2 linked regions of the Neurospora crassa OR74A genome follow. The main gene of each other region encodes a partner of the protein of the gene in region 2 in a complex. Links are inferred from orthologs where the notes say so. Each region holds a gene or a part of one and is shown on either strand. Other genes may lie near its edges. The genes, in order: NCU10747 and NCU04463.

What was found.
Region 1: NCU04463 (region 2) and NCU10747 share a complex: the UniProt entries of both Saccharomyces cerevisiae proteins name them as parts of the nuclear pore complex. The link is inferred for Neurospora crassa OR74A from reciprocal best matches to the Saccharomyces cerevisiae genes NUP170 and POM152.

The regions. Positions count from the first base shown.
Region 1 is NC_026507.1:2,684,044-2,699,780, forward strand, and holds NCU10747 (hypothetical protein), read right to left. Parts: upstream 7,605-15,737; 5' UTR 7,257-7,604; coding exon 6,679-7,256; intron 6,619-6,678; coding exon 4,526-6,618; intron 4,455-4,525; coding exon 3,301-4,454; 3' UTR 2,792-3,300; downstream 1-2,791. Other genes in the region: NCU02383 (hypothetical protein), read left to right, coding at 667-2,394; NCU02382 (hypothetical protein), read left to right, coding at 8,702-9,177, 9,240-9,339, 9,406-9,587, 9,653-9,852, 9,912-10,522; NCU02381 (phosphatidylserine synthase), read left to right, coding at 11,649-11,739, 11,861-11,956, 12,170-12,363, 12,463-12,831; NCU02380 (threonyl-tRNA synthetase, variant 2), read right to left, coding at 13,578-13,798, 13,857-13,916, 13,991-15,737. UniProt on the Saccharomyces cerevisiae protein: Functions as a component of the nuclear pore complex (NPC).
Region 2 is NC_026504.1:3,270,271-3,285,946, reverse strand, and holds NCU04463 (non-repetitive nucleoporin), read left to right. Parts: upstream 1-7,306; 5' UTR 7,307-7,881; coding exon 7,882-8,263; intron 8,264-8,337; coding exon 8,338-11,513; intron 11,514-11,569; coding exon 11,570-12,337; 3' UTR 12,338-12,807; downstream 12,808-15,676. Other genes in the region: NCU04459 (SAGA complex subunit), read right to left, coding at 1-918, 1,167-1,259; NCU04460 (galactose-1-phosphate uridylyltransferase), read left to right, coding at 2,821-2,921, 2,994-3,045, 3,108-3,909, 3,981-4,204; NCU04461 (transmembrane domain-containing protein), read right to left, coding at 4,422-4,883, 4,952-5,017; NCU04462 (3-ketoacyl-CoA reductase), read left to right, coding at 5,605-5,748, 5,820-6,674; NCU04464 (hypothetical protein), read right to left, coding at 14,086-15,476, 15,630-15,676. UniProt on the Saccharomyces cerevisiae protein: Functions as a component of the nuclear pore complex (NPC).

The sequences.
Region 1 (15,737 bases), on a different chromosome or scaffold from region 2:
ACCGAGCTGACGGGCATATGGGGTACATATGGATCTTGTCCGTAAAGAGCATGTGTAAACGGATTCTGTCTCAGCTTCACGCCTACCTTTATCTAAGTGGGCAGCCAAGAGTCCACAGAGCCTGTTTCCTTCCTTCATCCTCCAGGTTCCTATCCTTGCGGCGGTCAATCATACCAAAAGGCAAAGGAAAAGAAAAAGAAAGAAAAAAAGAAAAAAAGAGTTCGAACAGACGACGGTTGATCTCCTCTCCCATCTTTAGCAGCATCGGGTATCATCACCTACCGTCTCGATCTACAATACCAATTGCCGGCAAGTTGCTGAGTTTTAGTATACAGAGATCCAACATGCTTGGCTAGCTCTGTCGATGCCCATCATCGAACGGAAATTTCCGCCCCCTTTCCCAATCAAAACAAGCCTGAAAGTACCACAGTACCCTTCAGTCTCTATATACATCTCCCCACATCACAGGTAGGGTACAAGTACTCAGGCTCCAAGTAGTCATCTAGCTGCGAGGGTCCTAAAGGGATCCTTTTGGCCGCATTGTTCTTGGATCAAGAGAGATATGACTGTCTTTTGAAAGTCGTCCCCTCCGTCGACCTTCCAAATCACATCTTTCCCATTCACAACCTCTTACTCCTAGGACATATCCTTCCCTACAGTCTTACTATGTGTCGACAACCGTCGAAACAATCGGTACAGGCTGCCCTCAGCGCGACCATACCCAGTCACGTAAAGGTCGATAGCTTGCGACCCATTGCTTCCCTTCGACCACAAAGGATATTCGAAGTCAGTCTTTCTGACGGCAAAACACTCCTCCTTTCACTCCCGCCACAAGTCCTCTTCAGACGCCTGAGGCACGAACAATTCATAATAGGCTTCGAAGCGGCAACAGTTCAATGGATCAGGGATGCTCTTGCCAGAAACCATTTGACTAGCTTTACAAGCCCAACACTTCAGAGATTCCTCCCGGCCCTCGTACATACTTCAAGTCACGGTCCGGTCGAGCTAGGGTCAGCCTACAACGTCTTCGAGAATCAACATGGCATTCCTGTTGCCTTGTTACCTTCTCCCCCCAGCCACTTGGAGCGTAAACGTTTGGATAAGCATCTCGGCCAACTTTACCGATCCCTCTCGTCAATGACCTCACCGTCGGGCAGGTTCGGCCCCGTGGCGGTCGTCATCCCTAAAATGCCAGGAATAGAGCTTTCGGACAAGGTGGCTGGGCTTGGAGAAGGCGGCTTGGTGGCAGCCGACGGAGCAAGGAATTGGTCAACTGCCTTTCAGTCGTTATTGGAGGGTGTTCTAAGAGACGGCGAAGACATGGCGGTCACAATGGCTTACTCGCAGATACGAAGACATTTCAGGCGGTTTGAACACTTGCTCAACGAGGTCAAGACGCCGAGATTAGTGGTTATTGACGTGGCTGATGACACAAACACCTTGGTCACCGTGGAGAGCACGACAAGTACAAACGGCTATAGCAACTACACGACAGCACCACAACCGGCATCATCCGCGTCAGACAACTACATCGGTACAGAACGACGACTAACGCTTACCGGCCTTCAAGATTGGAGTAACTGCGTCTTTGGCGATCCACTATTAGCTACCATCTTCAGCGACGGCGTCTCGGAATCCTTCATGGAAGGTTTCGAAACCGGTCCTGCCTCTACCCATGCGAACCATCTCGGGGGCAGCAGTAGAAACACAAGTGCCAGCACCCACAGCACCAACACAGGAGTCATGTCCATCACAGCCATCACCGAACAAACCACCATTACTCGTGCACCTGCACCAACAATATCCAGCCTTCCGCCACCAACAGAAGCCAGCAGCAACAGCGACAACGACATAATCTCCTCGCTGATCGAAGACCTCCCCAACGCCGGCATTCGCCTCCTCCTCTACCAAGTCTACCACGCCGCGCTCTGCATTGTCAAAGAGTTCTATCGACCTCGATCGTCACCTTCCCCCTATAATACTACTACCTGCTCCTCCTCTCCTCCTCCTCCTCCTCCTCCTTCATCCTTCTCCAGCTCTCCAAGTACCAACAGAGAGCTCGAAGCTCGGAGAAAACTCACCGAGGCGCTGAATAGGTTGGAGAGTGCTGCTGCTGTGCCAGTGGTTACACCGATCTCGGTGTTGTCTGTACCTGTGCCATCTTCCCTCAAGAAGCAAACCCTCCTCGCAAGCAATAGCTGCTCCTCACCGGTAGCCGGTGCTAGGTCGTTATTATTTGGCCTGCAGGAGATTAGTACTATTGGTAGTAGCAGTAGTAGTGGTAGTAGAAGTAGGGATGATGTGCTGGCGAACAAGAAGCTGCATCATCGACCGAGTGGAGATATGAGCCCTGCGAAGAGGGCGAAGAGTGCTAGTGATGGGGAGAGGGGGTAGTGACGGGGCTAACCAGGACTTCCGGGATGAAGTAAGCTGGGGAGAGGGCGAAGAAGGCACAGACTCCCCCGGGGATGGATGGATGGATGGAGACCAGGAGGAGAAGGAATACGGGACAAAGTTTGAATGGGATAGGCCGGTCTGGATGGAGTCCGCATTCGCGCAGTTGGTCGCTTTTAGGAAAGTGGACCATTCAAAAATTCAGCAAGAAGTATAGAGAGAGAGAGAGAGAGAGAGAGAGAGAGAGAGAGAGAGAGAGAGAGAGAGAGCATTGCATAAGATACGGATTGGATAGAAATATGGAAAGGTATATATATGACAACACAACACGTTTGAAATACTGCAACACTTTTTTTCGATTTCAAGGAATGGACGCACGGAAACAGAAACACTGATTCAGCATGATTTCAAGTCTTTTCATTAATCCTTTTCCTTGCCGCCCGCCCTTTCTGCCTTCCCATCATATCCTATTCCGTTCATTCTCGTGAGTTGTGGTAATTGTTCGTTCCCCATAAAGACAGAAAACGCCATGCTATGTTCTTAGTCTACAGAAAAACACATAAGTGGATGTAGAGTAGTGGTAGTAATTCGTTACAAAAAAAAAAAGAGAAAAACGAAAACACGAAAACCAGATCTCCATCCCTAGAACCCTATCTCTCTCATCTTCTTTTCCATCGTTAATTTTTTTGATTTGCTTCCTCCAGCTGTGCAACAGCCCACTTCATGCCATACGTGGCCATGGCCAGCCGACCAGAGCACACCGTGTCACCCAGCATTGTTTCTCTGAGACTCCCTGCATGATTCTCTTTCCTCCGCCTTCCTCCCTTCATGTCCGACCCCTTTTCGTTTCTTGCCACCTCCCATGCCTTACTCCTTTTTGTCTTCTGATTTTCACAAAGAAGGTGATCATTGGTACTTCAGCAACCGCCCATCCTTACCCTCCACATATTCCACCCCAAGCATCTGCGTCGAAAACGCGCAGAACCGATCCTTGATGGCCACGACCTCGTATGCACCTTCCTGGCTGGCCTTGATGACCTTGCTATACTCTTCGCTGATATCGTGCTTGGTCTCCAACACCGTCGCACGCTCACCCTTCTTCTTGGGGTTGGTGCTGCGAGTATACGTGAACTCGAACGGAGGGGTTCCGTAGAACTCGAAAAGAATCTCGACCTCGCCACCCTCGTGGATGTCCGTCTGCACCTGCTTGCCCTTGGAAATACGGGCCGCGGGGAGAGGGTGAATAGTCTTGGAGATGTTGACAGGAGCGCGGCACTCGGATGCCCGGTCACTAACCGAGGTAATCGTGAACTCACCGGGGTGCTCGGCGATACGGCGGAAAGTCGTGGTGGGAGATTTGGCCCTTGACTCCTCGCCGTTGAAGGTATACCAAACCTCGAAGGGAGCGGCACCAGCAAGGGAGTACCCCAGACGTTCGCCGACGCAGTAGTCGGTGCGAGTCTCGAGAGGATAAATGGTGGGCGCCTCAAAGAGCTGGATTTGAACCGAGTGGGCCTTGCCATCGGGAGTATCCCTGTGGGCAGATGTGTAATCGGAGATCGAGTGGCAGCCGCTGCCGTCGCGAACGCTGCGAATGCGAATCGTTTGGGTTCCAAGGCGCAGCTGGTGACGCGGGATCTGGATCTCGTACGAGTTGGAGTTGATTGCAGGCGTACGGTACACTTCCGGAATCGGGCTGCTTTGGTGTCTGATTTCGAACTCGAGGTTGAAGGGAGGGACGCCGTTGAGAGTGATGGGAATCGACTCGGATTCACCTTGGTCCGTCTTGCAGTACTTGAAGGTTTGACCGGGCTTGGCGAAGGCGGCAGTGGGTTTTTGATTAACCTTCTGTTTAACAGTCACGGGCTTGAAAGTCCGGTCATTAATGTAGAGGTTATCAGAAAGTGAGTTGAACGTGTACGTGTACTGGCCCGCCCTGGAGGTGTCTGCAGGGACGGAAGCTTTGCCGAGGGCAGCTTCAAAATCTTTCCTACTGATAGAAGCTGGCCCAGACGCAGGTTGATGGCGAATCTGGTATTCGACATGGAAGGGAGGCGTTCCTGTGTAGACATTAGCAGGCTGTGGGGAAACCAAGGAATGTGCCTGATGGGGCGGCTGATAGTAGATTTACCTTTGAGTGCAACTTGAAATCCAGATACGTCGCCCTCACAGACATCGCTCACAACAAAGCTGTTGGTGCCATCTGGCTGAACGTGCGCAGACTGTACAATGGCGAGCTCTGGACGAGGGAACCAGTCGACTTCAAAAGACGATGCCTTCGGATCAACAATGCCGTGGCATTGTCGATCCCAGACATCTGTGATCTGGAAGATACCCTTGGTGCGAACATCAAGGAAGTCATTGTCGTGCTTGATCGTCTTTTCCAGGACCCGGGGGGCGTTTCTCGAGGTATCGTTGACATTGCTGTAGAAAACCTTCCATGGGCCCTCTCCAGTGAGGCGAAGCGGCAGCTTGACCGTCGAGCCCTCAACTGCCATGGTCCTGCGTTTGGCATCGATAAGACCAAACGCTGCTCTTGGGTTCTGGCGGCGCACTGAGACCTTGACCTCATCCTGCACAAAGTTACGGCATGCTCTCTTGTCTTGGACGCTCGTCAACGCCAGAGTATACTCGCCGCCCTTAGCAAGGGAGCCCGTCTTGATCTGATACTTGTTCGTCTGGATATCCTTGACCTTGTACTGCTTTCTCTTGCCGTCATGGATAATCTCCCATTCCAGCGTAAATGGTGCGTCGCCTTGAAGCTGCACATCCACCGAGACATCGTCGTTAAGACAAGCGGCCATGTTACCAGTGCTGTGAATGATGCTGGCAGAAGCTGCTGGCTTGACATCTTGTTCGAGGATATACTCGGGCCCGCTGAGCTTTTGAGGTTCGTAGATGGAGTCGCCAATATGTGTGAACACGTACTTGTGATGTCCGGCAATTCTAGGGATGAATTCTTGCTGGAAACGTAGGCCATTAACCTTGATACGCTCCACCGAACGCTGCCCATTGGAAATGACCTCGTATCTGACGTTGAAGGGTGGAGTACCAATGAGGTCCATGTCGACGCGCAACCCAATGGAATTTCCAGCGCAAGTATCTGGAATCTCCTCCGAGCGCAGCGTGAGCTTGGGCTCGAGAGGGTTCAGCAGCAAGCAAGAAGACGGCTCCTGCACCTCTCCCTCGCATTGTCCGGCAACAACCGACTTGAGGGTATACAAACCAGGCGCAGCGATTCTCGGCCGGTCCCTGGCATTCTTGGTGTCGTAGGTGCCAACAGAAACAACATCCCCATGGTCACCGCTCTTGGTGAGGGTGTCAATCGGCGAGAATAGCCAGCTGATGGTGTACGTAGTGTCGTCGGGTACGGGGCCAGGAAGTTCGTATCTGATTGGAAGATCTTTGGAACCGCCCCTGGCAACCTTGAGAGGATTTCTAACGTCGCACCCTTCAAGACGCGCACGCGGTCGCTCCTTGACGAAGAGGTTCTGCACCAGATGCTTTGGCCTTGTCTTGGGATCCAAGTCGTCAGCATGGCCGGTGTACCTAGCAACGTTTCCGAACGCATCATGGACCTCATCGACGGAATACTGCCAGACTCCACCAGCGTTCATGGATTCATTGAGGTTGACGGGGACCCGTTGAGCTCGAGCCCAGGAGACGTCATCATCCTCAATGAGTCTCGCAAGACTACGCGAAGCACCGAGGAGCGGAGAAGAGAAGCCCTCTGGCTGCAAGCTCTGGATGTTGAAGCTGTGGTCTTTGCCGTTGATGGTGCGGCTATAGATGACTTTTAGTGGCGGCGTGCCATCAACCAAGAGGCTGAGATCAGACAACTCGCCGACACAGCGGTTTGGCGAGGAGACTACCTCGACGCTAGCGCGAGGGCAAGGGACCACAAAGGTGAGGGCAGTCCTGCGATGAACTTCAAGCTTATACTCGTCAAGCGCCTTGCCCAATCGATAGGCACCAGGCTTCTTGACGGGAAAGTTGTACTTAACAGTGAAGATCTCGTCATCTGCGTTCCTCTTGACCTCATTCTTGATTTCCTTGAGCTGGTTTCTTGTCAACTTGATGACTTCGTGTTCGTTGGTCTCGAGGTCGGTGCGGATGATCTCGACATCGATGGGAGTTGTCGCATTGAAGAACAGAGGGATCGAGGCAACCTTGGTGTCCCCTCCAATGCAGTACGGGGTGTTTTCGGGGTTGAGCACCACAGAGCTGGTGAATGGTCAGCTTTGCCGGGCCTTTTCACTAGTGCTCTTGCTTGGTATGACTTACCCTTCTGGGAGAATGTTGATAATCTGCCTACCCATGAGGAGGGAGTGATTGTAGAGGATGCTGGACACCTTGACTTGATGTTCGGTAATGGCAAGCTCCCGGTCGTAAAAGACCTTGACAAATCCGAACAGCCATGTCTGCCACGGGAGGCCGATGTTGAACATGAGCATCCAGTCAACCAAGGCGTGGGCAACAAAGGCGAAGACGACGAAGGACTGGGAGAGTTCGAGCCATGGTATCCTAAGCTCGGGCAGGCCGAAGAGATAGATGAGGTCTAGGGCGATCCACTTGAGGAACAGCCAGAAAGACTCGGTATTTTCTTCCACCACTTGGGTCCAGTCGTACACCTTCCACGCAAAAAGAGCCGCGTAGACGGCAACGGCGTAGAGGCGCTGTGTGGGCGCATCGATAACGTGAAGCGGGATCACTGGCCCTGGGCCTGTTGGTGCTGGTGCATTTCTCTGGGGGGCGACGGGGAGGGCATTGGGCGTTGCTGTTCGGGCGCGATTCGCGGGAGCAGCTTCGGGTCGTCGTGGTCCGGCCATGGGAAAGCCGCCTATAGAGTCCTTGCCTGCCATGGCATGCCGAGTCTGTGAAGGCTTGACGGCTTGGTAGTGGCCACGGGGCGCAACAATGTGCACGTTGTGGTTGTCGTCGTGATTTTCGTAGCTATCGTCGTCGTCGTCGTTGTCGTTGTTATCAATCGCCGAAGGACGGGAAGGAATGAATGGTCCACGAGGGGAGAGAGAGGCGTGGTTAATCAGTCGTTGGCAGTAGTGGTGATATGGAGAGCCGACATCAAAACAGGCATTCTCAGTCTTCCTCTTGTTCTTCCTGTTTGCGGGCAGGCAGAGACAGGCCTAAAATTTCCCAACACTCTGGAAACTAACAAGTCACGTCAAAGACGCGGTTGTGGTCTCTTTGAGGTTTTGCAGTCGCTGCCCGCACTGCAAGTGCTGCTTGGCTGGCCTACTAGCGTGTGCCAATGGCTGTTTAGACGATTGTGATTGGAGAAATGGGGAAACCTTCCCCATCTTTCTGTTGGTCAGTGCTTTCTGAAGCTTACCTGGTCCCCTGCCTTCAGCTGTTTCAAGCAGTCAGACAGTGCATGGGACAATACGTAGGTACCCAGGTATTGAGCGAAAGTGGAGGGGGAAGTAAACAAAAGAGGTCGAGCAACATGTAGCTCACCGGGCAAAGATGGGCAGCACTTTATCATAAGATCGTCGTAGCCGTCTTTAAGGATCCGAAACGTGTCTAGACTTGAACCTGATGCTCAAATTGCTCCCGTGAAACCCGGGGTGCACAAATGCTACGGTAGGTTGATGACACTTGCAGGAGTGGTGGTCCGCCATCAGGTAGGTAGGTAGTGTACCTCCCGTCTACTACCTACCTGGCTCTACATACTTAACACTACACAGTATCCGGCCGGATGTAGTGTAGCAGCTGCCCAAGTGTCTGTGTGCGCCTGCGACGGCACTTACACACATAACACCGACCTCCATCAAGGCCGTCTTTCTTTCTCTCTTTACAACCTCACCATCTTGTCGCTACTGATCGCATGAGATCGTCACTACATCCACTGCTCGTTAGTCTGCCGGTTTGGGCTCGACCCAAGAGCTGATCCACCAAACTTTCATCGGACTGATTGCAAGCGAGTTATTGGTGCAGTCACTTACAACATCCCCGGCGTACTCTCCTCCATCAACTTGAACTGCCTCTCAGATTTGATCATTTACCTTATTCACCCATCGACTTTGGGAGCGAACAAAACAGCCTCCATACCAGACTTCCCTGTAATGTTCGCGGCATGTCATATCCCGAGTCTCACGGTTACAAGTCACAAGGCAAGATCCCACGCTACACTATCTCCAAACGGCGACTGTCCCTAAAACCAGAGCTGGAAAAGACGAGCAGCCTGCCCCCCCCCCCTCTTTAGCCTTATCAACATACATCCCTCAGCTTGATTGGGTTACTGCTTGTCGAACCCATCAAGTACATTCCACGACACTTTCCTTGAAAGATGGATCCAAATAGTGAGCCGGCGACAACCCGTCGCTCAGGGCGTGCCCGCAAGCCAAACACAAGATATGCGGAACTCAGCTCTGACGACGAACTCAATTCGTCTGCCGGTGTGAAGGCCAGCCGGAAGAGGGCGTCACTCGATTCGAAGGCCTCAGCAAAGCTGGAAGAGTCAGCCGATCCCGAGCGATTATCGATGCTCAAGGAGTCGCCCGCTTCAGAGGAGCCAACGACAGCTGTTCGACCCCGACGAAGTGCCAAGCGCAAGGCAGCCCCTGAAGTCTTTGACGTGCCCATGGACGTCCTGGAGGCTTCGCTAGGACCGTGGCAAGAAAATGAGCTGGCAGAATGGCCAAGCTGGACGGACGTAGAGTCTGACCCAGTCTTCTTCAACCGTATTCTCAGACTACTCGGCATACGGGAGGCAAAAGTGAGGGAGGTATTGTCTGTTGACGAGGAATCGCTCCTCCTTCTCCCGTGAGTCGATGGCGCTTCCCATGTTGCATCAAGGGGTATCAACAGGTACTGACTGCGCGTAGGGAACCTCTGTATGGCCTAGTGTTCCTATTCCAGGTCATGGAAGAGGAGGAGGAAGATCTGGAGCCAGATGAGGAGTTTGGGTTATGGTTCGCCAACCAGGCAAGTCATTAGTTTGTCCTTTGGCGCCTCCCTCTGTTTTCGACTGTGGCTAACCTTGGTTGGCAGACGACCAACAACGCGTGTGCGACAGTCGCTTTATTCAACATCATCATGAACGCCCAAGACCTTCCACTGGACATAAATCTATCCAAATTCAAGGAGGAATCTGGACCGCTATCTCCGCCATTGCGTGGTCACCTGCTCAGTAACAGTTCGTGGATCAGGGTAGCTCATAATCATTTCGCAAGGTACGTACGGCATTCCGCTTCCCAGAAGGGCTGAGCATAAACGGCTTGAGCTGACGTTTCAACAGGCGTCTGGACCTTCTCAATGCAGCCTTGGCCCTCGAGAACAAGGTTGAGGACAGCAAAAAAAAGCGGGCTAGAACCACAGCGCGCCGCAAGAAGGAGCAGGAGATGGAGGATGCCTACCACTTTGTTGCATATGTGCCAAACCACGGGGACCGTAGCGTGTGGGAACTCGATGGGCTGAAGTTTAACCCCCGCTACGTCGGTGTGTCTCTCCTACTCAACGAAAGAATTCAGACACGATGCGACTAACAAATATTGTAGGCAAATTTGAGAAAGGGGCGCACTGGACGAGTGTAGCGCAACCTGTCATCCAAGAAAAGATGATGGAGTACGAGGCCGATCAGTTGGCGTTTAGCCTTCTCGCTCTTTGCGGAGACCGTCGGGCCGCACTGCGGCGTCAACTCGCTGTCAACATCCATTGCACGGAATTGCTCAATGATGCATTCCGAAGCGAATCGGCCTGGTTCGAGGAAGGCAATGACTCGTCTTCGTTCAAGGACCATATCAGCAACTTCAACGATCAGAGTAAGCTGGACGAATTCCAGCTCAGTACTGACGAAGCTAAACTCATGATCAAAAATTCAGCAGAAGCTCGTCGGTTGCAAGATGATATACAAACGGGTGGGATGGAGATGGCTGAAGCGTTGCTTCTTAGAACAGAGCTCCGCCAGAAGCAGGAGCAAATTCGGGCGGAGTACTACACAGAAGTCGCGTCTGGGCCGGAGGGTGACGAGGACGGCGATGCTCAGAATGAAGACCCTGGTCGAAGAAAAGACCACACGCCAGCAATTCATGAATGGGTGACGAAGCTTGCCGAGCGTGGTGTGCTGAGGGAGCTACACGAACAGGTGAAATCGCGAAACGGTTCATAGACATCCATCCCTTCGTGGACTGGCCGTCAACTGGGAAGGTACTTGGGGTTGTTTCTGCAGTACAGTCATTTCCCAGGGGTGCGTAGTGTAGAGCGACGAACTGTTTTGATGTTAGGGGGAAAGGACTTTGTCACGGCTCAAAGATCGGAATGTGGGTTTCGATTTTGGACAAAGCCGGGTAGTAACCAAGCAGCACATTCACACAAAGGTTAATAAGATAAACTGAAAGTGAAACAAGGACAAAAGACGTGTTGGGAGGTCATGACGCGCAGGACTCGCGCCATCCGTCTGGTCTCTCGATCGACGATTGTCTCGAAGCCTTGCTTAAGTTGTTGGTTAACAAGTCTGTATCACCACGTCTTTTTTTGTGACGTAATCTTGGACAATGTCCCCGCGGCCGGGACGAGAAGGGCAGGCGGTCAAGTAAAGGTAGCGAGTCGTGCCGGCAGAGAAGCGGCCGCCAAACAGCCCAAGGACGATTTGAGAAGGCGGTCTCGAGTCGGTCGACGCCCCGGCTCCCGCCAAGGCCAGATTTCGCTGCGCAGAATGACGGCATGACCCCTGCCACAAAAGCAGGACCCTGTCATTCCCTTCATCCAGACCTCCAGAGAAGCATTGACCTGGACTGCCCGTAGGGGGGAACCTCGAAACCAGAAAGGCACCGTGACCAACAAGCACTTGGATACCACCACCTTGTTGTTGTCCTGCCGTGGTCTAGGTGGTCACGTAGAGGCATTCAAACTCGTCCCAGCCCCTCACCAACAAACATTCTTCCCCATCTTCTGCATCTTTGCAAGAAAAAGGCCGTAAAAGTAACTTTCCTCAACTAGTCTTTTGGTGAGCATCTCCTGCCGCTGTCCCTTTGGTATCCCATCTTCACATGCATGCAGAGGCGACTGAATACTAGCAGGCTGCACCTTCTCTCAGAGCACCAGCTGATCAACTTTTTTTTTTTTCTTCTTCTTATTTACAGGACCCTCCTTGCATCCGGCGACTTTCCCCCCTCAAGAACCAACCGAGAAAAAATAAAAGACACGACAAGCGCCCGACGAGACAACACCCATCTGATCTCTCCCATTCACGAGATTCCAAGTGAATTTTCCACTCCATCTCTACGACCGCAACCATGTCGAAACGGCCGAGCTATGCGTCGGTCGCCAATGGCGCCGCAACCCAAGACGACTCCACCTCCGCCGCTGCTGCCGAGTTCGATCGCTGTATGTTTTCCTTCCTTATGCGAACCTGTTCGATATCATCTACCATCCGCTGTTTGAAAGGAGCAAGCCCTTGAGCGCTTAAGGTAGACAACTGTTGCTAACATGGCGCGTCAATCGGTAGCTCACGACAAGCAAAAAATTCTCTTCTCTACAGATGCGGGGCACTTCTCTCTCATTCGCGCGATGCATCTCGCGGATCTCATTACTGAATTGAATGGTTAGTTTTTGTCTCCTTGTATCCTTTCGCGCATTCTGTCTGGTTAGCATAGCTTGTGACGCTGGGTTTTGGGGCTATAAGCGCCAAAGCAGCAAGACCGTCACAACCTCCGCGATTTTCCCCAAGGATGATATCGACGCACAACTTGTGCGCGAGTTGGCATATCATAGAAGACGTGGTCACAGAATGCTAACGCCTTTGCAACTCTACTAGGCCTTTGCGGTATCCTCTCCCTCTTCTCTTCTTTGCGGTACTGCCTCGGTGACCCCGCCGACAAGACCAACATCTACTATGCGCTTGCCTTCCTCCCCTTTGGCTTGTTTTTCGACTTCATGGATGGCAAGGTCGCGCGTTGGAGGAAGAAGAGCAGCATGATGGGCCAAGAGCTGGACTCGCTGGCTGATCTGGTACGTGTACATCATTATTGCCCACGCTTTCCCAATTCCTCGACCCCGACCCTCTCCGGGACATCAAGCATTCTAACTCACAACCCATCCAACCAACAGATCTCCTTTGGCGTCGCACCCGCCGTCGTCGCCTTCGCCATCGGTATCCGTACCCCCCTCGACCATCTCTGCCTTGGCTTCTTCATCCTCTGTGGCCTCACCCGCCTCGCCCGCTTTAACGTGACCGCGACCGCCATCCCGAAGGACGCCAACGGCAAGGCTGCCTACTTTGAGGGCACGCCGATCCCCACGACGCTCGGTCTGGACGCCATTATGGCCTACTGGGTGTCGCAAGGCTGGATTCATGATTCACTTCCGTGGGGTACCATGTTCCAGGGCACCGCGCTCGAATTCCACCCCATTGTCCTCATCTTCATGCTCCACGGCTGCTTGATGACAAGCAAGACCATTCATATTCCCAAGCCTTGAAAGCATAAAGACGGACTAGGGTCTACGAACTTGTGCCGCAAGGAACGAGGGACGGGGATGATTGAGTTGGTTTATGGAAAGGTAAAGGCCTGGATTTCAATAAGGAAGAAGCCCGCTACGAGTTGAACGTCGGTGAAGAGAAAGGGAAGATTGAGAGACAGAAAGGTCTTGGGCAGGAAAGCAAAAGACGGGGAATTCTTTAACAGATGGAAAGCGGAGACAAAAAGAAAACTTAAAAAGTGAAAGAAGAAGAAGAAGGAACTAGCCGTGGGTCTGGGGGGTTTCTGAGAATTGTTGAAATGACTATCATGCCTGCTCTCTTTTTTTTCCTGCCATTTTCCTTTCTGGTCACTATCCGGTTGGCTGCATTGTGTAGTGCGAGTGTGTACACGCTTTTCCATTTTAGAATACAAATACCCTCTCTCTTTTTCCCGTCTTCGCCTTCTTGTCCGTATCCTGTCTACGCGAAATCATTTCTTCTGATATGCAGTGTTTAGGTCTATGCAGAAGCACCAGTGCGCCCGAGCGACAGACCACCAAACCATTTCCAAAGAATATCAAAGGCTCCTTAGTATAAGATTTAACAAAAATATTCGCCTCTTTCTCTACCGTTCTGTAACAAGCATATGCTAGATGACTATAACCCATACTCCTGCCTACGCCGCCCCCTTGCTGCCAACATGAACTTTTAAATTTGAGTTTGTTATTTCTTTTGCTTCATGTACTCCCTAAGTTGAGCTGGAGCTTTAAGCCTTGACCTCCTCCTTGGTAGCCTCCTCCTTCTTGGGGTTATGGGCAGGGAAAGGGTTGTACATGCCGCGATCGGCCTTGAGCGCGCGAAGCTTCTCGACGGCCTCCTCGAGAGAGTAGGGCACGTCACGGGCCTGGGTGGAGGTGTCGTCACGGTAACGGATGTTGACCTTGCGGTTGGTCTTCTCGTCGTCGCCGACGACAAAGATGAAGTTGTCTGTGTTGCGTCATTAGAAGGGGCAATTTTGGTAAAGGGGAACAGGCTCGCGACTTACATTGGGCAAGCTGGGCAGAACGAATCTTCTTCTGGAGGGTGTTGCCACTGCTATCGACATCTGTTGTGGTGGTTTTGGTGTCAGTATTCGATTTTTGTTTGCCCAATAACGGGGGTGAGTCAGGGAAAACATACCGACGTGGATCTTCTCCTTCTTGAGGGTCAAGGCAACCTCCTTGGCGTAATCAAGGAAGCCCATGCCAACGGGAATGACCATGACCTGGCGGGGCGACATCCAGAAAGGCCACTTGCCGGCGAAGTGCTCGGCAAGAATGGCAGTGAAGCGCTCGATGGAACCAGCCATGGCACGGTGAATCATGACGGGGCGGGCGCAGCCGGCAGTAAGGGGCTTCTTGACAAGAAGAGCCTTCTTCTTCTTCTCCTCGCCCTCCTTGGGAGCCTCTTCCTCCTCCTTGGGAGCTTCAGGCTTAGCAGCCTTGGAGGCAGCCTTGTCCTCATCCTGCTTGGCCTGGGCATCAGCGGTCATGTACTCGAGAGAGAAGTTGATGGGCTGCTGGAAGTCGAGCTGGATGGTGGCGCACTGCCAGGGGCGGTTGAGGCAGTCCAAAACAGCGATATCGATCTTGGGGCCGTAGAAGGCACCATCGCCCTCGTTCAGCTCCCAGGTGCCTCCAGTAGCAGCGACGAACTCGTTGAGAGCCTCCTTGAGACGAGCCTCGGCGCGGTCCCAGGTCTCAATCTCACCCATGTACTTCTCAGGGCGGGTAGAGAGCTTCAGCTTGAAGGTGAGGCCAAGCATGCCGTAGAAGGACTTCATGAAGTCGAAGAGGTCGGCAACCTCGGCCTTGATCTGATCCTCACGGCAGAAGATATGAGCGTCATCCTGCTGGAATCTGCGCACACGGGTAAGGCCAGAGAGAGCACCACTGGCCTCGTTTCTGTGGAGCACACCGAAATCAGCAAGCCTGAGGGGAAGCTCCTTGTGGCTGCGGTCACGGTGACGGAACATCATGGCGTGAGCAGGGCAGTTCATGGGCTTCAGACCAAACTGCTCCTTGTCAACGTCGAGAATAAACATGTCATCCTTGTAGTGAGCCAAGTGACCGGACTGCTCCCAAAGAGCGACGTTGAACATGTTGGGAGTCATGACCTCGTCGTAACCGCGCTTCCAGTACTCCTCCTTGATGTATTCCATGATGGCGTTGTTGATGCGCATGCCGTGGGGCAGCCACATGGCAGAGCCGGGCGAGCACTCCTCGAAGTAGAAAAGCTCCTGCTGCTTGCCAATGAGGCGGTGATCGCGCTTGGCAGCTTCCTCAAGGAACTTCTTGTGAGCGGCCATCTGCTTCTTGTCGGGGAACGAGACACCATAGATACGCTGGAGGGAGTCGTTGTTGGCGTCACCAAGGAAGTAGGAAGAGGAGTTCTTCATGATGGCGAAAGCCTCGATCCTGCTGGTGTCGGGGACGTGAGGACCACGGCAGAGATCGATAAGGGGCCCGTTACGGTAGACAGTGGTTCTGGTGCCGTCGGGGATCTTGTCCTTGATGATGTGTTGCTTGTATGGGTTGTAGGCGAACATCTTGAGCAGATCCTCCTTGCTCATCTCCAGTCTCTGGAAAGGCTGCTTCTCCTTGACGATCTTGGTGACGATGTTCTCGAGGGGTGCCCAGTCGCTAGACTGGACAGCGGCACCGCCGGGAAGAGCCATTTCGTAGTAGAAGCCGTTGTCGACGGGGGGGCCAATGCACAGAGAGCAGCCGAATCTGCGCTCGCAGGCCTCGCCGAGGATGTGGGCACTCGAGTGCCAGAAAACGAACTTGCCCTGATCATCGTTGAAGTCGAGGAGTTCTAGTTTGCAGCTCTTCTCGAGAGGACGCTCCAGATCCCATAGTGTCTCTCCGTCGATTCTGGCGACAAC
Region 2 (15,676 bases):
ATACTTCTCGCCGCTTCGTAGATCACCAATCCGGAGACTACGCCATTCCTGTAGTTGTGCAATTGCCTGCCGCAGGTTGAGCTCGTCAATCAACCCTTGACAGAACTGTTCAAAGTCGACGCGATTCATCATCCGCGCAAAGGGTTTCGCCTTGTTCAGAAGATCGCGTTCCTCCTTCGACCTCTTCTTTTCCGACTTTGTGTTTTCCCTGTAATCGAGCAGGTTGTGCTCAAATATAACCTTCTTCCTCTCAACTCGTTGCGTCAACCGGCAGTTGTAGATCTCCATAACGGTGAGTTTGAGCTCCATCTCCGGTTCCAGCTCGCCTGTCCGTGGATTAATTCCATCTCCTGGGTCGAACTGCATGAGCTGGACAGCCTCTTCCGCTTCGTTGCAGAACTCGGTCTCAAACTCCAAACGTCCTGGCATATATCCTTGAATTTCGTGGCATGATGGAACACTGGCTGTCGGCTTCGTCTTCGCTTGGAGGGTTGGGGCGTTCTTGGCGGCTTCCCTCCTTTCCTCGATGCGTCGCTTCTTGCGCGCCTGAAATTCTTCTCTAGAGATTTCGTTTGCCAGTTCCATGTCATGGGGACTGCATCGTTTCGGAAGGGGGAAGTTGGGCGAGTCGACGTAGACCTGGAGATAGTGGTCGCGTACCTCATCCTTACTTCGGTAGCCGCCGATGTGGTCCGCAATGTCGGCCCACGAACCCAAGCCGTAGATCTGCGCGCCCTCCAGAAGAAGGAGCTCCTCGTCCGCGCCCCATTCTCGGTCGAAGATTGGAAACGAGTTCTGTTCGATTACTCGATAGGGATGGGTTTGTGGCTGATGCGCATTGCTGGACGCTCCTTGCGCAAAGCATTGGACACAGAGATCATATTCATTGCAAGCGCTGTGTGCACACCTAATTCGGACCTGTGCGAAGTGGAAAGATTAGCTGGCTTGTTGTTGTTGCTTGTTGTTGTTGTTGTTGTTGTCGTTGTTGTTCTTGGGAGCCAGAGGGCTGGAGTCCAAAGAGGTTCCCCAACCCCACAACGTCGTCTCGTGATTCGCGCGACGCGAGGTCTGGGGCAGCGGTAGCGGCCGCATCGGAAGGGAGATATGACGTCCAAGCACGAGAACAACGGTTGAGGCTTGTTAACTATATGAAAACACAAACCTACCGTAGACGTTATGTCTGCTGAGCAGACGTCGCATACATACTTGACACCGCCCTCGCCGCCTCGTGCAGCGATCTTCTTACGGATGACGCCCATGGTGGATGTCCCCGAGGGACGGGGGTTAGGATAATCCGATAATGCGCCGGGCGGGAGGAGTCAGAAAAGGGGTTAATGTAGGCCAAATTCCACCGCTCAAAGCCCCATAGATGGCATTGACAGAAAGCGCAGAGGTTCGCGAGGCTTCTGTAATGCGTATATTGATGAACCAGGTGGCTGATGGCGAGTTGTCGATGGACTTATGTCGACGACCTTGATGGCAACGATGTTGCGGTTGTACGAGGGGGTGATGCGCCTGGAACCAGCAGGGCCAGGGGCTGCATTCCCACAATGCAACATCTGAATGAGCGGACAGGTGGCTCCAGCTGGGAGCCCACTTCCAAGTCATTCTGGCTCCGACGTTGTCCCGAGTTGCCGCTTCTGTGGCACAACCCTAACCCGTAGCTACTTGCTTACGTATCATGTACCTCTACTGTCGACAAAGGAACGGTGAGCTTGACGAACAAAGGATATCACACATCAGAGATCGGGCGGCAAAGTACCAAGGTATATCCTGCAACAAATTCTGGCAGAACGGTCAGTCAACTTTTAAGCTCGCCGTCTGTCAGATCTGCTACACAAATACAAGGTGGTACGTAGTGTGCCTGACTGATGGATCGAAGTCCCTTGTCAAGTTGGCGCACAGCGAAGCATGGAGCGAGTGCAGCCGCTCCACTAATATCATGCCCCTGGTGCGGAGGAGCCCCACAAGAACTTGTTTAGACGCGGGGTTGCTTCCATTGGTAAACCATGGTGAGGGGTAACGACCAACGAGGGGACATTTGCTTGCGAATTGGGGATCATAGTGGTGATGTTTTTGTTCCTATAAATTCTGCCATGTTTTCACCCGTATTGTAACCAACTCACAAGCTCTCCTTGTATGCTAATCCTCTGAAGAGCATCAGATCTTGCAGTATATCAGTGCTCGAGTTGAAACACAATACGGTGAATCCCAATTGACGTCCAGTCGCTCACCCTGTTTCTCCGGGCGCACTGGAGGCTGAAGCAGCTTAGAGGTAGCCCTCCACACTTCCATAACAGTGCAGTAGCTGAAGTAGGCAGGTACACATGGAATATGAATTTCATCCTGATGCAGGCTGCTGTCTGATAATGACAGTGCCTTTTGCGCCTCAGAAAACTCGGGAAAGAAGCGAGTTCGAATGCTCATCAAAAGTTGCACACCAGTCTGAGCCAGTGTATCACTATCAGGCAAGCGACTTCATTCCTGTAAATAAACGGTCCGTTGATCTGTAGGGTGCTTCTAGGCAATAAGGCCGAAGAACACCGAACAGATCGGATCATTTTCATCTTGTCTGCTACCCGGCCGTTGTACCCATAAAAACAATCCGGTAAGTGTGACCAGGTTGCCTCGGGGATGCTATCCCCGAGCATATGACTACCAATACACTTCAAAAGTGCAAAATACCAACCACCAATCTACATTATTGAACACCTCACTTATAAGAAAATTGATTTCCCAATCAACACCCTTGATTGATCGCAAGCCTTCTTTTCCAATTCCCACATTACTCTTTTCCTGAAAGCCTCTTGAAGCGCAACCATGACCGACAAAGTGCTTGACGACATCTCGCATCGTCGCTACAACCCGCTCAACGGCTCTTGGCTGCTTGTATCGCCTCACAGAACAAAGAGGCCATGGCAGTGAGTCCTCGATAGCCACACCGGAAATAAAGAAATACAGCGGGTTAGTTTGAATTGACGAGTTGCAATCAGAGGACAGCAAGAGGCTCCAGCCCTCAACAAGCTTCCTGAGTATGATCCCCAGGTGCGTAATCCCCGTCCCTTCATGACTTTATATTACTCTCACTCACTCTAACTGCAACCCAGTGCTACCTTTGCCCCGGCAACAAGCGCGCCCAAGGCGACTCCAACCCGCACTACAAAAACACATTCGCCTTCGTCAACGACTACAGCGCCGTCAAAGAGGAACAGCAAGAGTACCACCCTCGGAAGGACGCCGCTGGTGACGGCGACGATGACATTGCCTCTCTCCTCCTGCAAGCGCAGCCCGCCACCGGCCGGTGCTACGTGCTCACCTTCTCCGCCAAGCACGACACCACTTTGGCGGACATGAGCGCGACCGAGATCGTACCCGTGATCGAGACCTGGACGCGCATCTACGCCAGCCACCTGTCTGCCTCGCATCCGCTCAGGGACGCCGCCGCGCGTTCACTCAGCGAGATTCCACCTAACCCGGACGGCGAAGTCGAGCCCGCGAAAAAGCAGCAGCTGCGGTACATGCAGATCTTTGAGAACAAGGGCGCGGCCATGGGCTGCTCGAACCCGCATCCGCACTGCCAGATCTGGACGACGAGCACGCTGCCCGAGGAGCCGGGCAAGGAGCTGGCGCAGATGACCAAGTACCACCGTGAGCACAAGGGGAGGCATCTGCTGGAGGACTACGTCAAGGTGGAGATGGCCAAGGGCGAGCGTGTGGTTTGGCAGAACGACGGGTTCTTGGTCGTCTGCCCTTGGTGGGCTGTCTGGCCGTTTGAGGTGCTCGTCATTGCGAAGAGACATGTGCGCGCGCTGGTGGAGCTTACGAGCGAGGAGAGGCTGCAGTTTGCCGAGGCGGTGCAGGAGGTTACGAGAAGATATGATAACTTGTTCGAGACAAACTTTCCGTATAGTAAGTTCTACTACCCTCTGCAACTGCCCGAAGGAGAGAGAAAGGGAGAAAGGAGCTAACGGTATGAGAAGGCTCGGGTATTCATCAGGCGCCGTTGGATTGCACAGAGGAAGAGGCTGAGACGAGCTGGTTCCATATGCATTTCTACCCTCCACTTCTTCGGTCTGCTACCGTGCGCAAGTTCTTGGTCGGATACGAGTTAATGGCTGAGCCGCAGAGGGATATCACTCCGGAGCAAGCGGCTGCGCGACTCAGAGACTGCGGTGGTGAGCTCTATCGCAAGTCGTTGCAGTAGTGGAAATGTATGATGCGCTTGCTTCGCTTCTTGACCGAAAAGGGTATCAATAAGTGGTACATCTTCCACAAAGCCTATCGTCGGAGTCTTATTTCACCTAATACGCGATCGCGCTTCTTATGGTCATGATCCGAGTCCACTCGCCATTCCTTTTTGGGGGCCATGTACTGCTTCCTGCTTTGATTCCCAAAGACCAGCTGGTAGCTGCACCTGTCTTTTACTGGACGTAGTAACCATACTGCAACACCATCCACAACGTGCCGCCATACGCCGCCAAGAAGGGGAAGATCTGAGGTCCGCTGAAACGCAGCGTCTTGTAGATGAAGAACTCGCTCGTAAAGTGCACGGCGGCGATGACATGGGTCCAGATACCGAGCTTGTACAACGACTCGTTCTCGAGGTTGTAGCTCGCATAGAAGCGGATGATGCCGGCCATAAAGGTGTAGGTACCGAAGACGCGGGCCGCCAGCGGCGTGACTTGGTCCTTGGCAGCCGCCTCCTTCTTCTCCGCCTCTGAGGGCGAGACGGGCTTCAGCACGTCCACGCTGTCCTCCGGGCTGAATTTGCCCTTTGCGGGCGGCAGGGAAGGGTTGGGGACGAAACGGCCGTTGTAAAGGCGTCGCGTGTAGTGGAGAGTAGTGTAGTTTTGGAGGGCGTTTCCCATAGCTACGATGGAGACCTGGACGAAGGGCGTGTTAATTGCGAAACCATGTGAAGAGTCAGGGGGACCAGCAACCGTCAACTTACAAAGAAGAGGTAGTAGGGAAGGAGACCCTTCTCGCCCGAAGGCAGGAAAGCCTTGATAGCGTCCATTTGGTTCAAACAGTTATGAAGCGGTTTGTCGTCAGGGAAGAAAGCTATCGTAAGTCCAGGATATTTGTATTGAGAAGACCTTTTGTTGTTGAGGTGTTAGTTGCCCTTCCTGTTGCAGCTCTCCATTTGTTCCAGCGGCTCGAGGATCGGATGGAAACCACACTTCGGGCCACTCTCAAGCGCGAGAGACAGGGGTCATCGTAGCATCATGGACGCAGGTCCACGGGCATTGGACGACATTTTGGAGACAACAAACAAAATCCGCCAGGCTCCCCCTTCTCCTCTATCCATTGGCCCATGGCCAGCTCCGTCGGAGTTCAATGGCGGCGTCGAGTGAGTGATGGTTCGGCAAAAGCGGGGACAACCCAGCTGCCCAGGTCCTCTCGCCGGGGCCGCGGGGCGGGACGTCTCGAAAATCTTGGCGGCTGACACATGCAAGTGTACATAGTAGGCGAGTCGACCCCAGGTCCTCCAAAAAGTTCCCAACAATTATTTGCGACCGGACCCAACTTTGAAAGTGTCACAACTCCCCGATTCAAACCAAAGGCGTTCCTTCATCAACGACTTTCGCCGACAGTCCGTACGCAATGGATAAGGTTGCCGAGATCTGGGGCACTGTCCCTCAATATGGCCAATGGGCCCTTGCTGGCATCGGCGCCCTTTACGTCGCTACTCGCGTCGGCGCTTTCCTCCAGCTGCTCCTTAACGCTTTCATCCTGAGCGGCACCAACGTACGTCTCTTCGCAAACTTACTTGGGACTGAAGATTGTCAGGTGAATGTGGCTAACATCAACCTTGACAGCTCCGCAAGTATGGCAAGAAGGGCACCTGGGCTGTTATCACTGGTGCCTCCGATGGTCTCGGAAAGGAGTTCGCCCAGCAGCTCGCCTCCAAGGGCTTCAACCTCGTTCTCGTCTCTCGCACTCAGTCCAAGCTGGACGTCCTTGCTAGGGAGCTCGAGCTCAGATGGGATGGTTTCAAGGCCAAGACTTTCGCCATGGACTTCTCCAAGGACGACGATTCCGACTACGAGCGTCTCGCCGAGCTCATCAAGGGCCTCGACATTGGTATCTTGATCAACAACGTTGGCCAGTCCCACAGCATCCCCGTTCCTTTCCTCCAGACCGACCGCGACGAGCTCCAGAACATTGTCACCATCAACTGCCTCGGCACACTCAAGACCACCAAGGTTGTCGCTCCCATCCTCGCCCAGCGCAAGAAGGGTCTTATCCTTACCATGGGCTCTTTCGCCGGTGTTATGCCCACCCCCTACCTTGCCACCTACAGCGGCAGCAAGGCGTTCCTCCAGCACTGGAGCAGCGCTCTCTCTGCCGAGCTCAAGGACCAGGGCGTCGATGTCCACCTTGTTGTCAGCTACCTCGTTACCACTGCCATGAGCAAGATCCGCCGCACCAGCCTCCTCATCCCCAACCCCAAGCAGTTCGTCCGCGCTGCTCTCGGCAAGGTTGGCCTCAACAGCTCCGAGCCCTTTCCTAACACCTACACCCCCTGGTGGAGCCATGCTGTGTTCAAGTGGGTTGTTGAGAACACTGTCGGTGCCTACAGCTACTTTACCCTCAGGCTGAACAAGAACATGCACATCGACATCCGCAACCGCGCTCTCCGCAAGGCCGCTCGTGAAGCCAAGAAGCAGTAAGCGCATATCGCAGCTTCTAGCTACCATGTTTCTCACGTGAAGCTGGGAAGGAGCATGGACTTGTGGCATGATGGCTCTAGCCAAAAGACACATCCCATTGGCCTGCGTTACATCCACCCTTCGGACCCTGTATCTATTGTAGAGAAAATGAGAAACTTCGGCCCGTTGTTAGCAGACGAGTTCATAATGTGAGTGGAATGTACAGAAAGCTAAAAGATGATAATTGAACGATGATCATGAAGCAACCATATTTTTGCACAATGTATTTTTGGTACAGATCAAGAGCAGTTGCTGTCTGTCTATAGTTGATATTCTGAGTTGCAAATCCGACTTCTAGTGACGGGCATTCGATGACGTTCTCGACGATGATTGGACGGTTTCGACATTCTATAGGCGGTAGAAAAACATGCTTCCAAAAAGAGGTTAGCGCCTCTTCTGTGGTCCCCGCCGTCCAACTGCTCCGGCACACAGGCGCGTCCAAAATTCGCGTTTCAGGTCGCAGGTCCCAGTTGCCAGCCGCGAAACGACCGCCCTGGGCACCAATGATTCCTGCCCGGTCGCGGTAGAGGTACGTACCGCTGTCCCAGTTCTCCAGCCAAAAATTGTTTACGGTAGCCCGCCGCCGGAGCGGGCCAGCCTCTTCAATCTTCTGCTGTTCATCCACAGTCCACCTTCGACAGTGATTGCCCAATCGCGCGCAGAGCTTCCTTGCTCTCAACACCACAACAACAACTCAACCGCTTTCACCTCAAGCTGTGGTCGCTGCTCCTCGACCACGTCGCATCGTGTTGGACTTTATAGCTTCCCCTGGATTCCCAGACCTTCTTTGATGGTGGTGCAATTGTAGCAGTACACCCACCGACTGCAGCGAGCACCGCGCTCTCGACTTTGTGACCTCAAGCAACCAACCAACCAACCAACCAACTTGGGAGACCTGAAGCAAGAGGGCAAACGAAGCAAGAGCGACAACACAGCATCACAGCAAAGCGCGGAGAATCACGAAGCTGCCAGATCACGCTGCACCCTTGGAGCTCCAACTTGTGCCGACGCCAGATTTCCATCAGCCTCCATCCGCCTCGTTCTGGAGCTTCCCCTCCCCTCGACGCTCGCGACGAACTCTGAACCGCTTTTGCAGGTGGCACCGACAACCATCCCGCTGCCATCCCACCATCGTCCTGTCGGGTGTTAGCATCACATATCCGCCATCATGAATCCAGCCACACCTATGCGCCAAGTGCCCGGTGCATTCCTCAACACGCCCGCTGCGCCCAGGACCGATGATGCTCGACGCTACTTGGACTCGCTTCCTGAAAAGAACACTGCGAGGCCGGTGCTAGGAGGGTTCGGGTCCTATAATGCTGGTGGTGCCGGAGTTGCTTCCGGACCCGTGACTGGGCCCGTTTCGGGCTCTGTTGGCGGCGCCGGTGCTGGAACTGTTGCTGCTCCTCGTCCCGTCTCGCAGGTGCCTGTTCCAATGGTGCCAGCTCAAGCTCGCACAGATCTACCACCGGTTGCCAAGGCCGCGCGGCGCATCACCAATACCCTACTACGTGACGAGAACTACCCCGATGTTGATTCTTATGCTAGAGGTGAGCTTACCTGTTTAGGTTTCCATCCCTCATGGTACCTGGTAGGACTGGCTAACCATGTCTCTCCCAAATAGCTGGCTCCTCCTCGGACTATGACATGTACAGGACTGATGACGCGCCCGGCGCCCCGTTCAAGAAGACTCATATGTATCCCATCCCCGATCAAGTCTTTGAGCGGTTAAACAGGGGAGAGGTCAACACGCAACTCGGCCTATTTGCCGACATCAACTACGCGTGGGCTGCTATTGACAGCTCCCTCTTTCTCTGGGACTATACCCACCCAAACCCCGAACTTATCGGCTACGAGGATGCCACCACCACCATCACCGCGGTTGCCCTAGTGCCCCCCAAACCTGGCGTGTTCGTTAGTAACATCACCCATATTCTAGTCGTTGCTACGGGCACCGAGATAGTTTTGCTGGGCGTATCCGCGACACCTACCCCTTCGGGATCGAAGACCGTCGCCCTCTACCAAACAAAAATGGCAGTACATCGCGGAAGCACCGATGTCAGCTTAATCATCGGTACCTCGAACGGCCGTATCTTCTTTGGCGGTTATACCGATACCGACATCTACGAGCTCCTTTACCAGCAGGAGGAGCGCTGGTTCTCTAGCAGATGTGCCAAGGTCAACCACACACACCCTGGCTGGACATCAGTTGTTCCTAACCTCCCAGTGCCAATGGGCTTCTTGGGCCACCGTGATCAGGAACACCTTGTTCAGCTGGTTGTCGATGATACTCGGAAACTCCTATACTCGCTCTCGGACAAGTCCACCATTCGAACATACTTCATGGAGCCCTCTGGGAAACTGACAAAAGTCATCGAAAAGAACAAGGTCTCGTGCCTTAGTGACATGACGCATATGGTTGACTTGAACAGAAACCCTTTGCTTAACGAGAGAGTGAGAATCGTCTCTCTTAGCGCCATCTCGGCACAAGAAGCCTCAAAGTCTCACCTCATGGCACTCACCAACACCGGATGCCGTTTGTTCCTTACTGCGACGAGCGCGGCATCCTACATGCTGAGCGCCTCAACCAGCCTTGCTCCTCAGAGCATGCAGGTCCAATACATCAAGTTTCCTCCTACGAGCGAAGACCAGCAGGTTCCCCTCCGCAACGAGATCAACACTGCAGTTGCATATGCACCTGCACCTGCAGCAGCTCAAGATCAAATGTCTGGCTTACTTTCGGAAAGTTGCCTTGGTGAACGTTTTCCTCCGGGTTATTTCTTCGACGCGGTTCGACCCAAAGAGAGTCGCACGGATCTGCTCTTTGTATCAGCCCCCGATGTCGGCAGACTTAAGCAGAGCGCTGTACTCAGATATGTTGAGCAAGGTACTTTCATCCCCTTGGGTGACGGAAGCCGAGTTCTTTCCATCGGTCTTACTGGCAACCCTTTTGCGGCTGCAAAACAACCGCTCGGATTTGGCAACGAGCTAGCTGTTCAGTTCGATCATACCCCAAGCGAATTCGCTGTGCTCACCAACACCGGTATCCATATCGTTCGCCGCAGGAGGTTTGTTGACATCTTCGCTAATGCGATTCGTGTCGCATCTGGCGATGAGGATTTGGACAGCAAGGTGAAAACGTTTACGGCCATCTACGGCAGGGTCGAAATGGTCGCGGCTGCCTTGGCGGTAGCATGTGGTCAAGGAGGAGACGCCCGTCGTGCTGTGGATCCTCTTACTGAGGACAGGGCGCGGTCCATCTTCATCAACTACGGTGGTCAGCCCAAGCTTGCGGACGCAGATGTTTTGCAGGCACCGGAGGACAACGTACAGCTCTCGGCTCGCCACGATGCGCTGGTGCTCTATCTTGCGCGCCTCGCCCGCACCCTATGGAAGTCCAAGGTCATTGAGATAGCCACGGATAGCGCTTCGGGCGGGTTCACTGTTGGCTCGGCGATTCCCATCTCCAAGCTCATGACGGTACAGGAAAGTGTGCAACGACTAAGGAGATTCCTTGAGGAAAACAAAAGTCTCATCCAGGGCCTGGCCGGACCCTCCGATCGGGTTTCTAGCAGACAAGAGGAGATCGCTTTGCAGCTGGAGCACCAGTCTCTCCACGCTCTGCGTCAGCTTATGGACAGCGTGTCTGAGGGCATCTCTTTCGTCTTGATGCTGTTCGATGAGCGGGTAACCGACATCTTCATGCGCCTAGATGATTCGTCCAAGCAACAGCTGCAAAACCTTACCTATGAAGCTTTGTTCTCTCAGGACTCTGGAAAGGAGCTCGCCAAGGTTCTGGTGAAGGCTATTGTTAACCGCAACATTGCCAACGGAGCCAATGTCGAGACCGTTGCCGATGCACTCAGGAGAAGATGCGGCACTTTCTGCTCCCCTGATGACGTTGTCATTTTCAAGGCTCAAGAACAACTGCAGCGGGCCAGCGAGTCATCGGGCAATCCTAACCTGATGCGCACCTTGCTTGCGGAGAGCTTGCGATTGTTTTCCCAGGTCGCGGGAAGCCTGACCATGACCAACCTGCGCAACGCGGTCGAACAGTACATCAATTTGAAGTATTACGCTGGTGCTATCCAGCTGTGCTTGATAGTTGCGCGAGAGAAGGACCGTGGAAACGCGGCCCTTGCTTGGTTCAACGAAGGCAAGCCGGCTAACGATCCCCGTGAAAAGGCTTTCAAGGACCGGCAAAGTTGCTATTCCTTGATACATGAGGTCCTTGACCGGCTAGAGATTGAGTCGGCCTCAGAGCCCGATGTTGTTGACGGTAGGCCAACTCTTGCTGCCACCAAGCGGGCGGAGGCATACAGCGTCGTCAATAGCTCAGACGACGAGGTCTTCCACCTTGATTTGTACGACTGGTACATTGAGAAGGGTTGGACCGACCGCATGTTGGCCATCGACTCTCCTCATGTCGTAACGTACCTGCAGAGACTCGCTGCGGTTGATGCTCAGCACGCCGATCTTCTTTGCCGGTTCTACACACAACGCAGCCGCTTCTTCGAGGCTGCTCAAGTGCAGGCTGAGCTCGCCAAGTCAGACTTCCCCCTTGGCATCAAGGAACGCATTACCTTGTTGAGCAGAGCAAAGGCCAACGCCAGCGTCACCACTGTCGGTGTGAGTCGCCAGCAGCAGCAGCTTCTCAACCACGAAGTGACTGAGCTTCTGGAAATTGCCCACATCCAGGACGATTTGCTTGAGAGATTAAGGGCCGATCCTCGCATAGTACCTGAGAAGCTCCCTGACATCGAGAAGGTTCTGGATGGTCCTGTCCAGGGCCTTTCTACTGTGAGTCAATCCCTAAAAGTATGATGCTATTTTAGTTGCTAATCTGTACCATGTAGCTCTTCAACGATTTCGCCGATCAGGCCGGATACTACGACCTTTGCCTGCTCATCTACAACGCCGCGGACTACCAGAACCCGCACACCATCAAAGAGACGTGGGAGAATCTCATCAACCAGATCCACTTTGAGACCGAGCAGAAGCAAGAGGTGTGGCGCCTCATTGAGGCAGGCGAGGCATTGCCCGAGGGTGTCGAGGCTCTTGAAGTTCCACCCCCTATGCCTTACGAGGCTGTTGTCTCCCAGATCCAGTCCATTGCCCACCGCACCTCCCTCGACAGCCTCATCTTCCCCGTCGACACTCTTCTCCCCATGGTCTGCGCCTACGCCATCAACAACCACCAGGACGCCTCGATCGGTGCTGACCCTTGCTGGCCTGTCGCTGCCTTCCTGCAGCTGGGCGTTCCTCATGCCCTGATCGCCCGCGTGCTGGAGAACATGTTTGACGCTCAGGAGGCGCCCTTCGTTGGCAAGCACAGGAAGTTGGTAGTACAGTGGATCAACTGCGTCGTCGACTCGTGGATCCGCGAGATCGAGCACCGCGGTTCGGCATCGGGTAAGAACGGCGACGGCGCCATCACCACCTGGGTGGCTGAGCTGTTGACGAGGGCCGAGGAGGCGTTGGTTGCGATTGCGGCCGGCACCAGGGACCCCGCTCAGGCGGCGAGCATCACGGATACCAGGAGGGACACGAGAGAACTGAAGAGGAAGGTGGAGATGCTGTCGCAGGCCGAGGCCCAGGGCAGTCTGTTGTTCAGCACCAGGTAGGACCAGGTGAATCCAACGACTCCCAAGACGCCCATGAATAAGAAGAAGCGGACGTCGTATAAGACCACGGTGGAGGAAATTCCGGATGAGAGTTGTGGTGCGGCAGGGGAGGATTCAATGATGGGTAGCATCCCGGGGAAGTGGAAGAGGGGGTTTACCTGAGACATGGAAGCGAGGGAGTTGCTGTGAGTTATGTTTACGAATATTGAATATTGCTGCCTCTTTTGTGTCGGGGCCTTGAAAATATCGCTATGAAGATGGCGTGGCGAAGAGAAGGAAACCAGAATTAAGAGAAAGCGATACATTGTTGATTGACCTTGGAAGTAGGTGTTTTCGATACTATCCGCCGTGGTCCTCTTTCTAGCATTTTGTCGAGTAGATTGGTACCAATGGCTTTGGTGTGTGGGTAGGTTGGTTGGTTTGGTTAATGTGTACTGTACATAAAGTATTTATGTGACTTTTTTCTCCACGTTTCATCTCTCTGGTACTTTAGACCACCCGGGCCTGCTTGCTTTGGCTTCTCATTTGCGTCTTGGTACATGAAGATGGTTGAGTTGATATTGTCGATGTGTGTGTGAAATGCTGGTCGGTCTCCACTTTTACCCCTTTTCACTTGATCTCTCAGGATAAACACTCGTGCTCGAGAGGGTGGTTTTGCGCTTTTACGTCTGGCCTTGAATCATCAAAAGCGGAAGCAAAGAGAACGGGGACTTCTTTCGAATAGTTCTAGGTGCCAGTACAGAGGCATGGCACGAAAACACGCCTGCATCCATGGATGGCTAACTGAGATCAAGCTCTACTCGACAATCTCCTTTGAGAGTCCCTTCAGTCTCCAACCAGATCAAAAGCAGGAACCGGGGGTGTCAATGCTGAAGACCGTGTACGTCCAAAACCCAAGTCCCTCAACCTTCAACGAGTTTGAGTAGGGGAAAAGAGCTGCGCTTCTAACGAAAGACCAGCAATCAAGGTAAGAGAAAGAAAGAAAAAAAAATTATGGACGCGGAGAGGGGAGAGGAGAAAAAAGGAGGTAAATAAATTGCACGGTCCGTGATTCGAGCCCGGGTCTTTATCTGGTGATTCATGTTCCGATTCCCTCTGAAACTCGGTCTTTGACTGTGAGTCCACGGGGATTCCAACTCTGTTTCTCAACCCAAGTGGCGCGCTAGACCATTGCGCTAACCGTGCTTTTTTCTTGGGTTTGTTAGTAGAAACAAGATCTGAGGGGGTACCATATGTACCCCTATCGACTGGATGGAATTGGAGATAAGTGACGAGGAGGCTGCTGGCAGAGGATGGCATGGGGCAGTGGGCAGGTTCAGACTTGGGAGGGATGGCAGGAAGGAAGGAAGGAAGGAGATACGTACGCCCCTGCTGGCTAACTCTACGGCTACTGTAACGATAGTGACAGAAGATGTTGGAAGATGGTTTCAAATAAACTTACTACTAGCACCGCTACCTTTTTGTTCCCTTTTCTCTTGTCATGTATGGTCTTAATCGTCTGCATCCCTTCCCTGTTCTCGTTCACTCTTTCCATTACTCCTTCCCCATCTACTCCATCACTAACTACTACCAATTCTCTCCTTGATTACTAGCAAATCTTCTCGCTTTGTCCCACCATCACCGCAAAGGTTTCCAAACAAGTCAAACATTGCCAACCACTTCACTCACTCATCTTCCGCTGACACCCAACCTCACACAAGCACCACTAACCAACTTCCAACCCATCAAACTCACCCTCATCCTCATCTTCACCCTTTCTTAGCCTCGCCTATGCCACCAATCCCAGAATCAGTGCTGTCGGAGACACTACAGACACTAGCTTGGTGCGGTCGGTTCTCCTTGGGTACCTGAATTGGTATGTATTTGCGAGGATGATAGGGAGATTTTGGTGAGAGGTTCGATGAGTGGCCCGAAAGGTTGGGGGAGGATGGTATAGGGTTGGTAATGGAAGCAGGAGCGACAGGTGAGTAAGATGTGTAGTAGTCTTCTGGTGCTTGTTCTGGTTCTGGTTCTGATTCTGGATCCTGGTCGCCGTGGCTGTCATGGTCATGTCCCATTTCCACAGATTCTTCTTCATGTTCAGCAAGATCCATACCTCGTTGTTGTTGTGAATTTGCAGAGACACTTCTTCGACCCCGCCGCTGAACCTCATTCTCATCCAGCATCACATCCTCACTGCCCTGTCTTTCCCCGCACTTCTCACTCTCCTCGTACTCCTCATGATCCAAAAGAGACATTGGCTCCCCCATGCCAACATCACCATCTTGCTCCTTCTCTAAACTTAGCAGCTCCACAACCGACACAGACACTACTGAAGGTGATTTCTCACCAGAGTGTCTCGAATATCTCGATGATGATTGGCGCGACCCTTTCCGTTCATCCTGCTCATCTGGTTGTGGACTCAACGCCGCCTTAAACCCACCCGACCTGTAAGCGGGAGAAAGCGAGGAACGAGAAAAGCCAGGTGGAGCTGGAGAGCGAAGCGGGTGGGAAATTGCAGAGATAGGTGCGAAATCCGTCACTGTCGGCGATGGGGGCATCGAAGATACCCCTGACCCTGCGATGGAGCGTGATCTTGGGGAGTGTCGTGAAGTAGGACGGCCATAGCTCTGACGACCTGAAAAGTGTGGAATCGGGGACTGATGAGGCGGTGTAGGTGACTGAGGGGGGCTTGAGTGCCTTGAGGTAGGATTGCTATGGCTACGGCTGTAGCTGCGACTGTGGCGGTTCGGGGAGCTTGGAATCTGGGAGTGATGGGATCGTGTAGGAGACTGGGGCGGGCTTGAGTGTCTGGAGGCCGCATAGCGCAGCGAGTGGTGGGAGGGGGCGCGAGAGCCGGGGGATAATGGGTTGAGGTCCAGCCTGCGTGATGTATGGGAGCGTATGGAGGGCTTTGATGACGAATGTGAGGCATGTGAACTCGGTTTGGGGGTGGTGTCTCTGAGGGCTGCGGTGGGTGAGTTGCTGTTTGATGATGCTGGAGATCTGCCATGCGGTGATACTGCCATGGAACGGCGCCTTTCTTTTGACGACGCATTCGTTGGAGCCTTCACGTAACGAACACCTGAAATTCGTCTTGCGGAATTGTCACGCTGAGATTCCGCTTCCGAGCTTGAGTGTGGGTGTTGTGAACGTAATTCTGATACAGGTGACCGTACTCTCGACTCATCATTCACAAATGGTTCCCGGATTGATGCTTTCGAATCCCTTGACATGTTTTGATGACTGAGATTCAGTGACGTCGACTTCTCAGAGCCAGCCTGAGAAGATGCACTCCTCTCACTGATCGTACCTGCTTCTGACATTAACTTGCTGAAGTTTGCCTGCGCCTCTGAAACG